Callithrix jacchus: one gene and its partner. The protein of the gene in region 2 binds, or shares a complex with, the protein of the main gene of each other region. Links are inferred from orthologs where the notes say so. Each region holds a gene or a part of one and is shown on either strand. Other genes may lie near its edges.

Region 1 (5,366 bases), on a different chromosome or scaffold from region 2:
GAGTCCCTCTTCTCACTGCTCCTGTCTCTGAGCCTCCTTTGGGTGCCTTTCTTATCCTATTAACCTCATTAGGTAACATTTTGGGCTTATTCTAAGAAAGCGGTGACTGATTTTAGCCTGTTTATAAGGTTTCCTTAGGGATTTTGCAGTCTACTGTCAGTAGACCATATTAACAGTCCACGAGGCAAAGACTTGGGGAATGATTACAGGAAGTTCTTGTTTGTACACGTTTTTGTGTTGCTATGTAGGTGGAGATTAAGTGTCTGTTTCCTTTTGCTTCTTAGCATCAAGGTTTGGGACCTTGCTCAGCAGGTGGTACTGAATTCATACCGAGGTGAGTATTATCCCACTTTTAGGCCTGGCCTTAGCTGCTGTGGTTTTCTTCTCCCCTTTGGACGTTTCGAACTTCGCTTTGATGCTAGGAGCAGAAATTCCACATTATGTCTGATAGTTTTCTTATAAAGCACATAGTCAGGCTCCAGTATCCACCCCTTGTCCTTTCCTCATTTTCCCTGTTTCTCTCTCTCTTTTTTTTTAGCTAGTCAAGTGCAGTAGTGAAAAGGGGGGAAAGAGTAGAACAAGGAGTTTAATCTGTAACTGACTGAACAATCAACTGAGATAACTGGCTCCCTTCAGACCAGCCAGTTTCCCTGTTGCTACTGATGGCCTCACCTCTTTGGCAACACAGGGCTCAGAGTCTTGGTCCTCCTCCACCCTTTCTGTTTCCCCACCATCAGTTGCCCACTGAGTTCTTTTTAGTCTTTTCCACTGATCAGTCACTTTCCTGTCCATTTCTATGCCCCCCATTCACTTTCAGGCTTTATCTTCCACAGGTGATGGCACTCATCTCTCCACTAGCAGTCTAGCTCTTTTGGTCTTTTATTGGTTTCCTGAGGCGTGTGGATTACATTCCCATTTTCTTGTCACGACATTGAAGCCCTTCCATTTCCTCTCTTCAAGCTTACTAGATCCTTGATGTTCTCGAGGGATAAACCTTGAGACTTTCAAATCTTGAACCTCTGAGTATTTACCTTCATAAAATGTCTGTTTTCTGGTGAGAACCGTCACTTTCTTAATGCCCCTCTTTCTGCTCACTTTCGTTAACAGCACTAGTGGTTGACTTTCTCTTGGGAGCCATTCTTTGTGCAGATAATATCTGGAGCCTTAATATGCGCATGGCTATGAGATTTAGGTGCTGGGTGATCACCGTGGTTCACTCCGTGGCCAAGTGCCTTTCCCTGCCGTTTCTGACTTCAAAGTGCATGATTCAGTTATAGGCCAGAGAAATCACAGACTCATATCCAAGGTCCAGTGTGCTGGACCTCAGGGTCACTTTCAAATAGGTTTACAATAATATTGAATGCCCATCTGGGTGTAGTGGCTTACCACTGTGATCCCAGCACTTTGGGAGGCTTAGGCAGGCGGATCACATGAGGCCAGGAGTTAGAGACCGGTCTGGCCAACATGCCAAAACCCCATCTCTACTAAAAAGTACGAAAATTAGCCAGGTGTAGTGCTGCGCATCTGTAATCCCAGATTATACTTGGGAGACTGAGGCCTGAGAATTGCTTGAACCCTGGAGGCGGAGGTTGCAGTGAGCCGAGATCATGTCATTGCTCCCCAGCCTGGGTGACAGAGTGAGACTATCTCAGGAAAAAAAAAAAGTCAATGTCCCCTGTCTATTATGTTTGCTTTTTATTTCTTAGACATATGATGTGCCTTCCTGGTTAATATTAACTCTTTTTCATTACTTCAGCCATTCATCCCTTAGTTCTTCGTGTTTGTGTCTTATTCCCCTTGCTGAATTCCAAATCCCTTCTTATTTCTTAATTTTTTGTACAGAGTCTTGCTATGTTGCCCAGGCTGCTCTCAAATTCCTGGGCTCAAATGATCCTCCCACCTTGGCCTCCCAGAGTGCTGAGAGATTACAGGCATGGGCCACCGCACCCTGCTCCAAAACCTTTGGCGGTAGAGGAACCATGCATTCTTCACCTTTTGTACACCACCATGGTGCTTGCCCCAGAGCTTTGCTTTGTTCAAGTGAGCAATAAATTCCTTTTCTTACTTCTTATTCTGTTGGCTTCCTGTGAATTCTAGGGCTAGGAAAGAACTGTGGAAGTCAGTAAAATTCCATCCTTCTGCCTCAGGGAGGGGCCACATTCAGACTCCCTGGGAAAGTCTGGTAGAATGACCGTAGAAGAGTTTCGCAGTTTCTAATTAACATGTAGCAGTGACTTAAAGTTTTTTACATGTAGACCTCCCAAAACAATTTTGAAAATCGATGCCCCCTCATACATTTTTAAACTGATACCTAAAAAATTTTAAGTAGTTGCAGAGAAGGTAACTTCTGGCATATAATTTATTACATACTTATTTCAGGCATACATTTGTCAAAATTTTAGATTCCTAGTTAGTTTGTACGAATGTTTGCCAGATAGCCTAACTGGCAAATGCCAATGTGTGTTGAAAAGCCAGTGGACCAAGTTAGACTAAGTTTTCTGTCAGAAAAAGTCTGACTTTGTTACCACATTCAGATAAAGTTGTTGAATATGTCCTTATCACAACAGTCTGTCATATTTCTTAGTTCTTGTCATTAGACAAGAGTTAAGTCACAGAACCATACTTGTGTTTGTGATATGACTGAAACAAGATCAGCCCCTTCACTGAATTTTACCCAGATGCTCCTTTTGCTCTTTGGTTCTTAGGGAAAAGCCCCTTTTGTCCCTTAGTTTAGAACCCTTATATTTTTATACCCCTGAGCATTGTACCATGGAAAGATCTGGGATAAATGACAGGTATCTGTTTCTTCTATAAAGTGGGAGAAGGGTGATGGTGAAAACAGAGGCAGTTCAATTTTAGGAAAGAGAACATTGAGAGAAATTGGCGCTCTTAATGCTATTAGCGCCCAGAACTCCCTCGCAAGTTTCTGTATACTACTTGGAGGTATGTGTACTCCATCCAGCATGAAGACTGCTATTCTAGGATTATTTAGCCCTCATGTCTAGGAGGTCTTAACTGGAAATTCCTTTATTATTCTTACTAAGCCCCTAATTTCTCATTCCCTGTCTTTACTAATACTTTTCTTTACAAGACTTTTTAGGTTTTATAGGTCTGTAAACTTCTCCTCTTAGCTTCTGTCTAATCCATAACCTACCACAAAATTTGTTAAATTGCATCCTGAGACCAACTCTTCCTCCCTCCTGTGCCTTGATTATTCCTGGGCTGGCCTTCTTGTAATGCTTCGGCTTGTTTTCTGTCATATTTATCTTTCTCTCTACTTTTCAGCTCATGCTGCGCAGGTCACCTGTGTCGCTGCTTCTCCCCACAAGGATTCTGTGTTTCTTTCATGCAGTGAGGTGAGAGATAGCTCCTTCTTCCCTAAACACACTCCAGTCCTCCATAGGCCACAGTCTCTAGTGTGGAGATTTTCTGGCCTACAGCTGCTCCTTTGGATTGTGAAGTCCTTTTTCTTTTCCGCCTCCCTCTAGGACAATAGAATTTTACTTTGGGATACCCGCTGTCCCAAGCCAGCATCACACATTGGTGAGTCTGAGATTCATTGGTGGGAGAATAGTACTTGGAACCCCAATAGAAGAGACTTTCTTTGGCCAGTGTCAAAGCAGATTTGCCAGATTCCCGATCTAGTTACTGTGACATGAGTAACATAATCTCCTTCTTTTCCACTGAGGCTCTCCTAACCCCATTCTGTGCACTGAATACCAAGAGGAAGGGCCAGTTCCTGGGTGGGTTATTTATTTTATTAGGTGGGAGGACAAAGGGGCCAGAATTGTTATCTTCATGACTGTGTTTGAAACTGGCCTGCGACTCATGTCCAGAAAGCGCAGGAGGCTGGTGGATAAATGGTTATGAGGCTGAAGGATGAGGACATTGCTGCCTTAGCAGGGTTTGGGAACTCCAATAAAGGTGCTCCTAGGATTTATAGTGATGTCACTTGAGAAAGTGCTTCTTCTGGGCTCTGAGTTTTAGTCCAGACCCTCTTCTCTTTGCAGGTTGCAGTGCCTCTGGCTCCCTTCCTACCTCACTGGCTTGGCATCCTCAGCAAAGTGAAGTCTTTGTCTTTGGTAAGGCAGCATGTCAGACTTCATATTGACTCTGGGAAAGGGGAGGAGGAGAGAAAAAGAGCTGACTCCACAATGCACAAGGCTCTTGCTGCTCAGTCTTATCAGCACTCGTGGACGCTAGATGAATATGAATTAAGGGTGGGGAGGTGGGGGTGATGCTAATGTAGTTTTACTGTAGCTTTGGAGAACATTTTTTTTCCCAGTGGATTTGATTTTTGATTGATTGATCCAGCTCCGGTATTCTGGGCATGGCTAGAAGTCAGAGAGCCACAAAACAAGTGGGTTGCTGTATACGGAATTCTCTTAGACTGTGGGTAGGTGTAGGGCTATTGCGGTCATGAGGCTGTGCATATGGTGACATGGTTTGTGGTTAAAATAATAACTCCTTCATTCATTAACTTAATTTTCACAATCGTCCAGTGACTTCTTATTCCTACTTTGCAAACCAGAAAACTACTGCACCAAAAGAGAAAACTGACTTTGGCTGGCACCAAGTCCATGCTCTTAACCACTGTGACATGTTCCTTTCTCTTCTACAGGGGACGAAAATGGGATGGTCTCCCTTGTTGACACCAAGAGTACAAGCTGTGTCCTCAGCTCAGCTGTACATTCCCAGTGTGTCACTGGGCTGGTGTTCTCACCACACAGGTACTGGTCTTTGTTATCAGGGGCCTGATGGGTATGAATGGGAACAGTGAGGGGGTGTGTGTATATTTTCTTTCTTTTTTTTTTTGAGACGGAATTTCGTTCTTGTTACCCAGTCTGGAGTACAATGGCGCGATCTCGGCTCACCGCAACCTCCGCCTCCTGGATTCAGGCAATTCTCCTGCCTCAGCCTCCCGAGTAGCTGGGATTACAGGCACGCGCCACTGTGCCCAGCTAATTTTTTTGCATTTTTAGTAGAGACGGGGTTTCACCATGTTGACCAGGATGGTCTCTATCTCTTGACCTCGTGTTCCACCCGCCTTGGCCTCCCAAAGTGCTGGGATTACAGGCTTGAGCCACTGCACCCGGCCTATTTTCAAAGCATTAGCTGATTAAATAGTTCTTTAAAGCAGACAGTGTTCTAGCTGAGGTTTCGGAACATGAAAGGTCTTCAGAGGGCTCTTAAGTGTGAAGGAGCAACTGCAGGCCAGAAAATCTCCACACTAGAGACTGTGGCCTATGGAGGGCTGGAGTGTGTTTAGGGAAGAAGGCGCTATCTCTCACCTCACTGCATGAAAGAAACACAGAATCCTTGTGGGGAGAAGCAGCAACACAGGTGACCTGCGCAGCATGAGCTGA
Region 2 (6,014 bases):
CTTGGGAGGCTGAGGCAGGAGAATTACTTGAACCTGGGAGGTGGAGGTTGCAGTGAGCTGAGATTGTGTCACTGCACTCCAGCCTGGGCTATAGAGCAAGACTCCATCTCAAAATAAAATAAAATATAATATAATACACACAAAATGCTGGTGGAGCACTCACCCACTTGCTGAGAACAACCACTTACTGGAAAGACCTGGAGGAAAGAATTCCAAATAAATTCTGTAGATACTCCCAATTCTAAGGAGGGGGAGCTTAGTGACTTCTTTCCAATGAATACAGTATGGAAAGCTGGGGCCAGGGAGAGGGTGAGAGAGAATCACTTAACAGTGGAGAAGCCGGATAAACTACTTCTTGCCAGATGATCAAAGTCAACATTAAATCATAAATCATGTGGATAGTATGTACCCTTGATATGATGTGATTAAAGTAGCAGTTTTTTTTTTTTTTTTTGAGACAGTCTCACTCTGTTGCCCAGGCTGGAGTGTAGTGGTGTGATCTCGGCTCACTGCAGCCTCTACTTCCCTCGTTCAAGTGATTCTCCTGCCTCAGCCTCCAAGTAGCTGGTATTACAGGCATGCCCCATCAAGCCCAGCTAATTTTTGTATTTTTAGTAGAGATGGGTTTTCACTATGTTGGCCGGGCTGGTCTTGAATTCCTGACCTCAGGTGATCCACCTGCCTTAGCCTCCCAAAGTATTAGGATTATGGGCATGAGCCACCGCACCTGGCAAAAATACCACTTTAACTTTGTGATCTTCCTTCCCAAATCACAACCCCAGTCTAAGCATGAGAAATACAGACAAATTCCAGCAGAGGGATATCCTACAATATACCTAATCAGTACCCCTCAAAATTACCAAGGTCATCCAAAACAAGGAACATCTGAGAAAGCATCATAGCCAAGAGGAGCCTAAGGAGACATAGCAACTAAATGTCATATGATATCCTGCATGGGATCCTGGAGCAGAAAAAAGTCTGTGGGTAATAATAATAGTAATGATAATAGTAGACAAAAGCACCTCCAGTCCCTTCAGGCTTCATGGTGCATTTTTTTAGTTCTTTGGTTTTCAGACTTTCATTCTTTTGAGGCACTTGCATTGCACCCAGGGTTCCCCAGAACTTATCCTATCCCACAGCCTTTCCGTATTTCCTATGGCTCTGTCCCCTACGAGCGATGGTGATCTCAAGTCTTGTGGCTTCAGTTCATTTCTTCTGGCGACCTCCATCTCACATGGTTCAGATCACTGTTCATCCAACTTTCTATTACACAGCGCCCCCTAGACGTTCAATTCAGCATGACCAAACCCAAACCCTGACTTCCTAAACCCGCTTCTCTCATTTCTTGCTCACTGCATAGACAGAGTCGTAGGCATCACCCCTGGCTTTTCTTTCACAGGGTTCCCTGCCAGTCGATCCCTAAGTTCTGCCAGCGGCGCCTGCGTGGGGCGGACTCTTGTATCGTGTTCTCTTCTTTATCCTTGCTGCCAGGCCCTCAACACCTGTGAGCCCTCTTCCTTCAGGAGTTCCCATTTACCTCCCTATGCCTTTCCTTGCTTCCTTCCTTTCCATCTCTAGCAGCTACTGACATGGGAAAATGTAGATTCTCTCGGGTCTCCACGCCAGGCAATTTCATGACTGCTACCCAATGAAATTCCTTACCGTGAATTCCTTTTCTCCATCTTGAGGTGTGTGTTTAGGCGTTTATTTACATCTTTTGTGTTTGAAACAGAATCACTAGGAAGTAGCTGAGTTACCACAGTTTATTTTAATATGTAGCATTGTAAAGTGACAAAGCCCATTTTAATAGCACCAGCCATTAACCCAGTTTTCTCAATTGACACAAGAAAAACACCTCTGAAGGTAGTTACGGGAAAACCTGACATTAGATGACTGCGGAACCCAACCAACCTAGGACCTGAAAATGAAAGTGAAGATAATAAAGAAGCTACAAACTGAGATAGGAAGGGGAAATTAGAAAATGCTCATGTAGCAAAAGAGAGCGGCCTCACCGAGCCAGCCAGGAGTCGAACCTGGAATCTTCTGATCCGTAGTCAGACGCGTTATCCATTGCGCCACTGGCCCTGGGATAGGAGCGTTTTCTTCTCTGCTATTACTTCAAGGTTATACTGCAGGGTTTCATGGGAGGTGTAGTTTCTTAACTGAATTCGGCCGCTGCACTAAGCATTCTGGGAGATTGAAGTTCATCAGAAACCAGACCCTGAGATTGGTGGATCTGCAGGAGCCACGCCGTACGCCACTGTGCAGCCGGCGGATTGGAGGGAAAAGCCACTCTCCTTCTCTCCCGTTCAGGAGCGGTGGCAGACGCTCTGGTTGTTAAGGCGACTCGTCCCGCCTTCTGGGGGGGGAGGGGGCTTCAGTTCGGCTTTGTGATTGGCTACTACTATCAAGGAATCCCGGCGTGGACAGCGCGAGGAAAAAGATGGCGGCGATGGCGGTCGGGGGTGCTGGTGGGAGCCGCGTGTCGAGCGGGAGGGACCTGAATTGCGTCCCCGAAATAGCTGACACACTAGGGGCTGTGGCCAAGCAGGGGTGAGGGCCGGATCTCCACGAGCGGAATGCTGGGTCCGAACTCGGGGACGGAGAAGGGCAAACTAGTCATCCCGGAGAAGCAGGGGTGAGGGGGTCGGCTAGGATGAGGGCGGGAGAGACTATTACTCTTTGGAGGGGAGGATCCTCGGACCCAGGAAAGTGAGGAAAAGAACTTATGAGGGGCCTGTGGTCACTGAGTCCAAAAGTTGGGGGAGTTGTTGGGTAAACTCAAAAGGGCCCTGGAGGTCGCGATTATTGTCTGGGAGTGGGAGGAGGTTTTAGGGGGCAAGGGAGAGAAGAGGCTAATTTTGACGGGGGAGGCATGGGCGGAACTGGGGCAAATCAGGATGTGATGTTCTGGAAAGACTGTCACTTGAGGAGAAAAAAATTCTGCTTGTGGATTTCCATCGTTTTCTCCTTACATTTTCCATGGCTGTGTTTTGGGGAGAAATTGAGGCACAGTACAGCAGAAGTGATATCCCCCAAGGTGGTCTGAACTCAGCAGCCTAGTGGGGTGAACTGATGGCAGCTGAAAGGGCTGTGGAAAAATCAAGGTAGCCTAAATCCAGTTGCTTGGCTCTCTGGCACTGCTGCTCTCTTTACATGATTCTGGGTCTGTCGCGGTTGTAGGTTTGATTTCCTCTGCATGCCCGTCTTCCATCCGCGTTTCAAGAGGGAGTTCATTCAGGAACCTGCTAAGAATCGACCTGGCCCCCAGACACGATCAGACCTACTGCTGTCAGGAAGGGGTAGGGACCATCCCATATGCCCCTTAATTATTAGAGGCAATAACAACTTAAGCTTTATCGGGGCCCTCATTCTCCTCCTTTTCTGACTTGGATATATTTGTTAGTCCCTGGGATATAAATAACTTGTTTTCTCCTTGCTTCTCTATTCTGCACCAGGCTATCCCACATCTATGTAGAAAAAAACCTTTGTCTCTCATTTCTACACTTGAGTTCCTACTAAAAACTGAAAATTGAACAAGTAAAGTGCTGAACCTTATTCAGTATTTGTCTTTCTTGGGTGGGGGAGTGCAGACTGGAATACGCTAATTGTGGGAAAGCTTTCTCCATGGATCCGTCCAGACTCAAAAGTGGAGAAGATTCGCAGAAACTCTGAGGTGGTAAGACTGACTTCTTTGCTGGATCTTTCTAAAGATTAGGTCTGTAACCATGCTGGGTGGGGAAAGTGGCCCCCTCCCACCCCCAGTAACTTGGTAAATCAATTGAAACAATGAAATGAAAGCTATTAGGCTGGGAGCAGTGATGCACACCTATAATCCTAGCACTATGGGAAGCTGAGGCTATAGGATCACTGGAGCTCAGGAGTTCGAGACCAGCCTGGGCAGCATAGTGAAACTTCGTATCTATAAAAAATACAAAACTTAGCCAGGCATGGTGGTGCATGCCTGTGGTCCCAGCTACTCAGGAGGCTGAGGTAGGAGGATGAATTGAGCTTGGGGAGGTCGAGGCTGCAGTGAGTCAAGATTATGCCACTGCACTCCAGCCTGGGTGACAGAGTAAAACTTTGTCTCAAAAAGAAAGAAAAGAAAGCTATTTGCTTGTTAACTCAACCTTTTCCTCTTTATATCCATTTCAGGCCATGTTACAGGAGCTGAATTTTGGTGCATATTTGGGTCTTCCAGCTTTCCTGCTGCCCCTTAATCAGGAAGATAACACCAATCTGGCCAGAGTTTTGACCAACCACATCCACACTGGCCACCACTCTTCCATGGTATAGCTGAGAGGCTCTTTTCCTGCTGCATATCATGGTAGTCAGATTGTGTTAAGTGCCTTTTTGTGCCTAGCCATTCAGTGAAGGTTATGTTTGGCAGAATTTAAATATAAGTATTGCCAGGCACAGTGGCTCATGCCTGTAATCCCACCTTGGGAGGCTGAGATGGGCAGATTGCTGAGCTCAGGAGTTCAAGACCAACTTGGGCAACATAGTGAAACCCCGTCTCTACCAAAAAAAAAAAAAAAAGCCACACAACACAACGCAAATTAGCCAGATGTGGTGTCATGCACCTGTAGTCCCAGCTACTTGGGAAGCTGAAGTGGGAGGATGACTTGAACCTGTGAGGCGGAGGTTACAGTGAGCTGAAATTGTACCACTGCACTCCAGCCTCAGTGACAGAGCCAGACCTTGTCCCCCCAAAAAAGGTCAGATTGCCCTGCCCATCTAAAAGTGGTATGAAGAGAATTTCAGAACATGTAAATGTAATTATTTTAGAAACTTACATAAGGCAGATATTTACCTAAGGATATTTACCTAAGATACACGTTCACTTACAAAATCACAAATTGGGAAAAGCATAAAGGGATTAACGAGGTCTGGATGAAGACTTTTTTAATTGAGGGAAACTTTCTGGACCCAATCAGTTCAAAAGAGAGTTCTAAAAGGGTGAATGTTTATGTGCAGTTCTGGATGCGGGTACCATTGGTGGCACCAGAAGACCTGAGAGATGATATAATTGAGAATGCACCAATTACACACACGCAGGAGTACAGTGGGGAGGAGAAGACATGGATGTGGTATGTCTCCCTTTGCTGCTGTACCAGGGTGCAAGGGATAGGGTGAGGGGAAGTACAGAGCGGAACCTGTAGGGAGGTCTTGAGCTATGGTGATTGGTCGGCCATATGTAGATGACTGTACTTTTCTGTATTTGACTCTGAACAGGTGGCACAACTTCCGGACTTTGTGTGACTACAGCAAGAGGATTGCAGTGGGTGAGTCCATGAGGATCCTGGGATGAGTGTCGCTTCTCTGACCTGTGAATAAGAAATAGGAATTTTGTGTATAGTATACAATTTTGCTACTTTCCCACTATCTCAGACTGCCTTTCTCTGAAAAAGTAAACAGAATTGCACAAAGGAGCAAGGAAGAGTGTCTTGACTGGCAGTGGTTGACAGTTTTTCTTTTGCCTCACTCATGTAGCTCTTGAAATTGGGGCTGACCTCCCATCTAATCATGTCATTGATCGCTGGCTTGGGGAGCCCATCAAAGCAGCCATTCTCCCCACCAGCATTTTCCTGACCAATAAGAAGGGATTTCCTGTTCTTTCTAAGATGCACCAGAGGCTCATCTTCCGGCTCCTTAAGGTGAGTGGTAGAAGGGTCCAAAAGATGGTCCAGCTATATGTCTTGCTTTATTCGCCTGTGTATGATTGTTTTTTCCTGTGAGGCTGACATTGTGTGTGTGTGTTTTGGAGTTTCGATCTTGTTGCCCAGTCTGGAGTGCAATCGTGCAATCTTGGCTCACTATATCCTCTACCTTCTGGGTTCAGATGATTCTCCTGCCTCAGCCTCCCGAGTAGCTGGGATTACAGGCATGCGCCACCACGCCCAGCTAATTTTTGTATTTTTAGTAGAGACAGGGTTTCACCATATTGGTCAGGCTGGTTTTGAACTCCTGACCTCAGGTGATCCACCCACCTTGGCCTCCCAAAATGCTGGGAT

The links. The genes of interacting proteins can lie anywhere in the genome.
Region 1: PRMT5 (region 2) and WDR77 share a complex: the UniProt entries of both Homo sapiens proteins name them as parts of the methylosome complex. The link is inferred for Callithrix jacchus from reciprocal best matches to the Homo sapiens genes PRMT5 and WDR77.

The regions. Positions count from the first base shown.
Region 1 is NC_133508.1:149,397,106-149,402,471, reverse strand, and holds part of WDR77 (methylosome protein WDR77), read left to right. Parts: intron 1-284; coding exon 285-334; intron 335-3,285; coding exon 3,286-3,356; intron 3,357-3,488; coding exon 3,489-3,543; intron 3,544-4,010; coding exon 4,011-4,082; intron 4,083-4,621; coding exon 4,622-4,730; intron 4,731-5,366. UniProt on the Homo sapiens protein: Non-catalytic component of the methylosome complex, composed of PRMT5, WDR77 and CLNS1A, which modifies specific arginines to dimethylarginines in several spliceosomal Sm proteins and histones.
Region 2 is NC_133509.1:57,297,099-57,303,112, reverse strand, and holds the start of PRMT5 (protein arginine N-methyltransferase 5), read left to right. Parts: upstream 1-2,428; 5' UTR 2,429-2,443; coding exon 2,444-2,553; exon of another isoform or gene 2,554-2,579; coding exon of another isoform or gene 2,580-2,638; intron 2,639-3,183; coding exon 3,184-3,302; intron 3,303-3,458; exon of another isoform or gene 3,459-3,593; coding exon 3,594-3,679; intron 3,680-4,155; coding exon 4,156-4,290; intron 4,291-4,977; coding exon 4,978-5,090; intron 5,091-5,235; coding exon 5,236-5,285; intron 5,286-5,493; coding exon 5,494-5,657; intron 5,658-6,014. UniProt on the Homo sapiens protein: Arginine methyltransferase that can both catalyze the formation of omega-N monomethylarginine (MMA) and symmetrical dimethylarginine (sDMA), with a preference for the formation of MMA.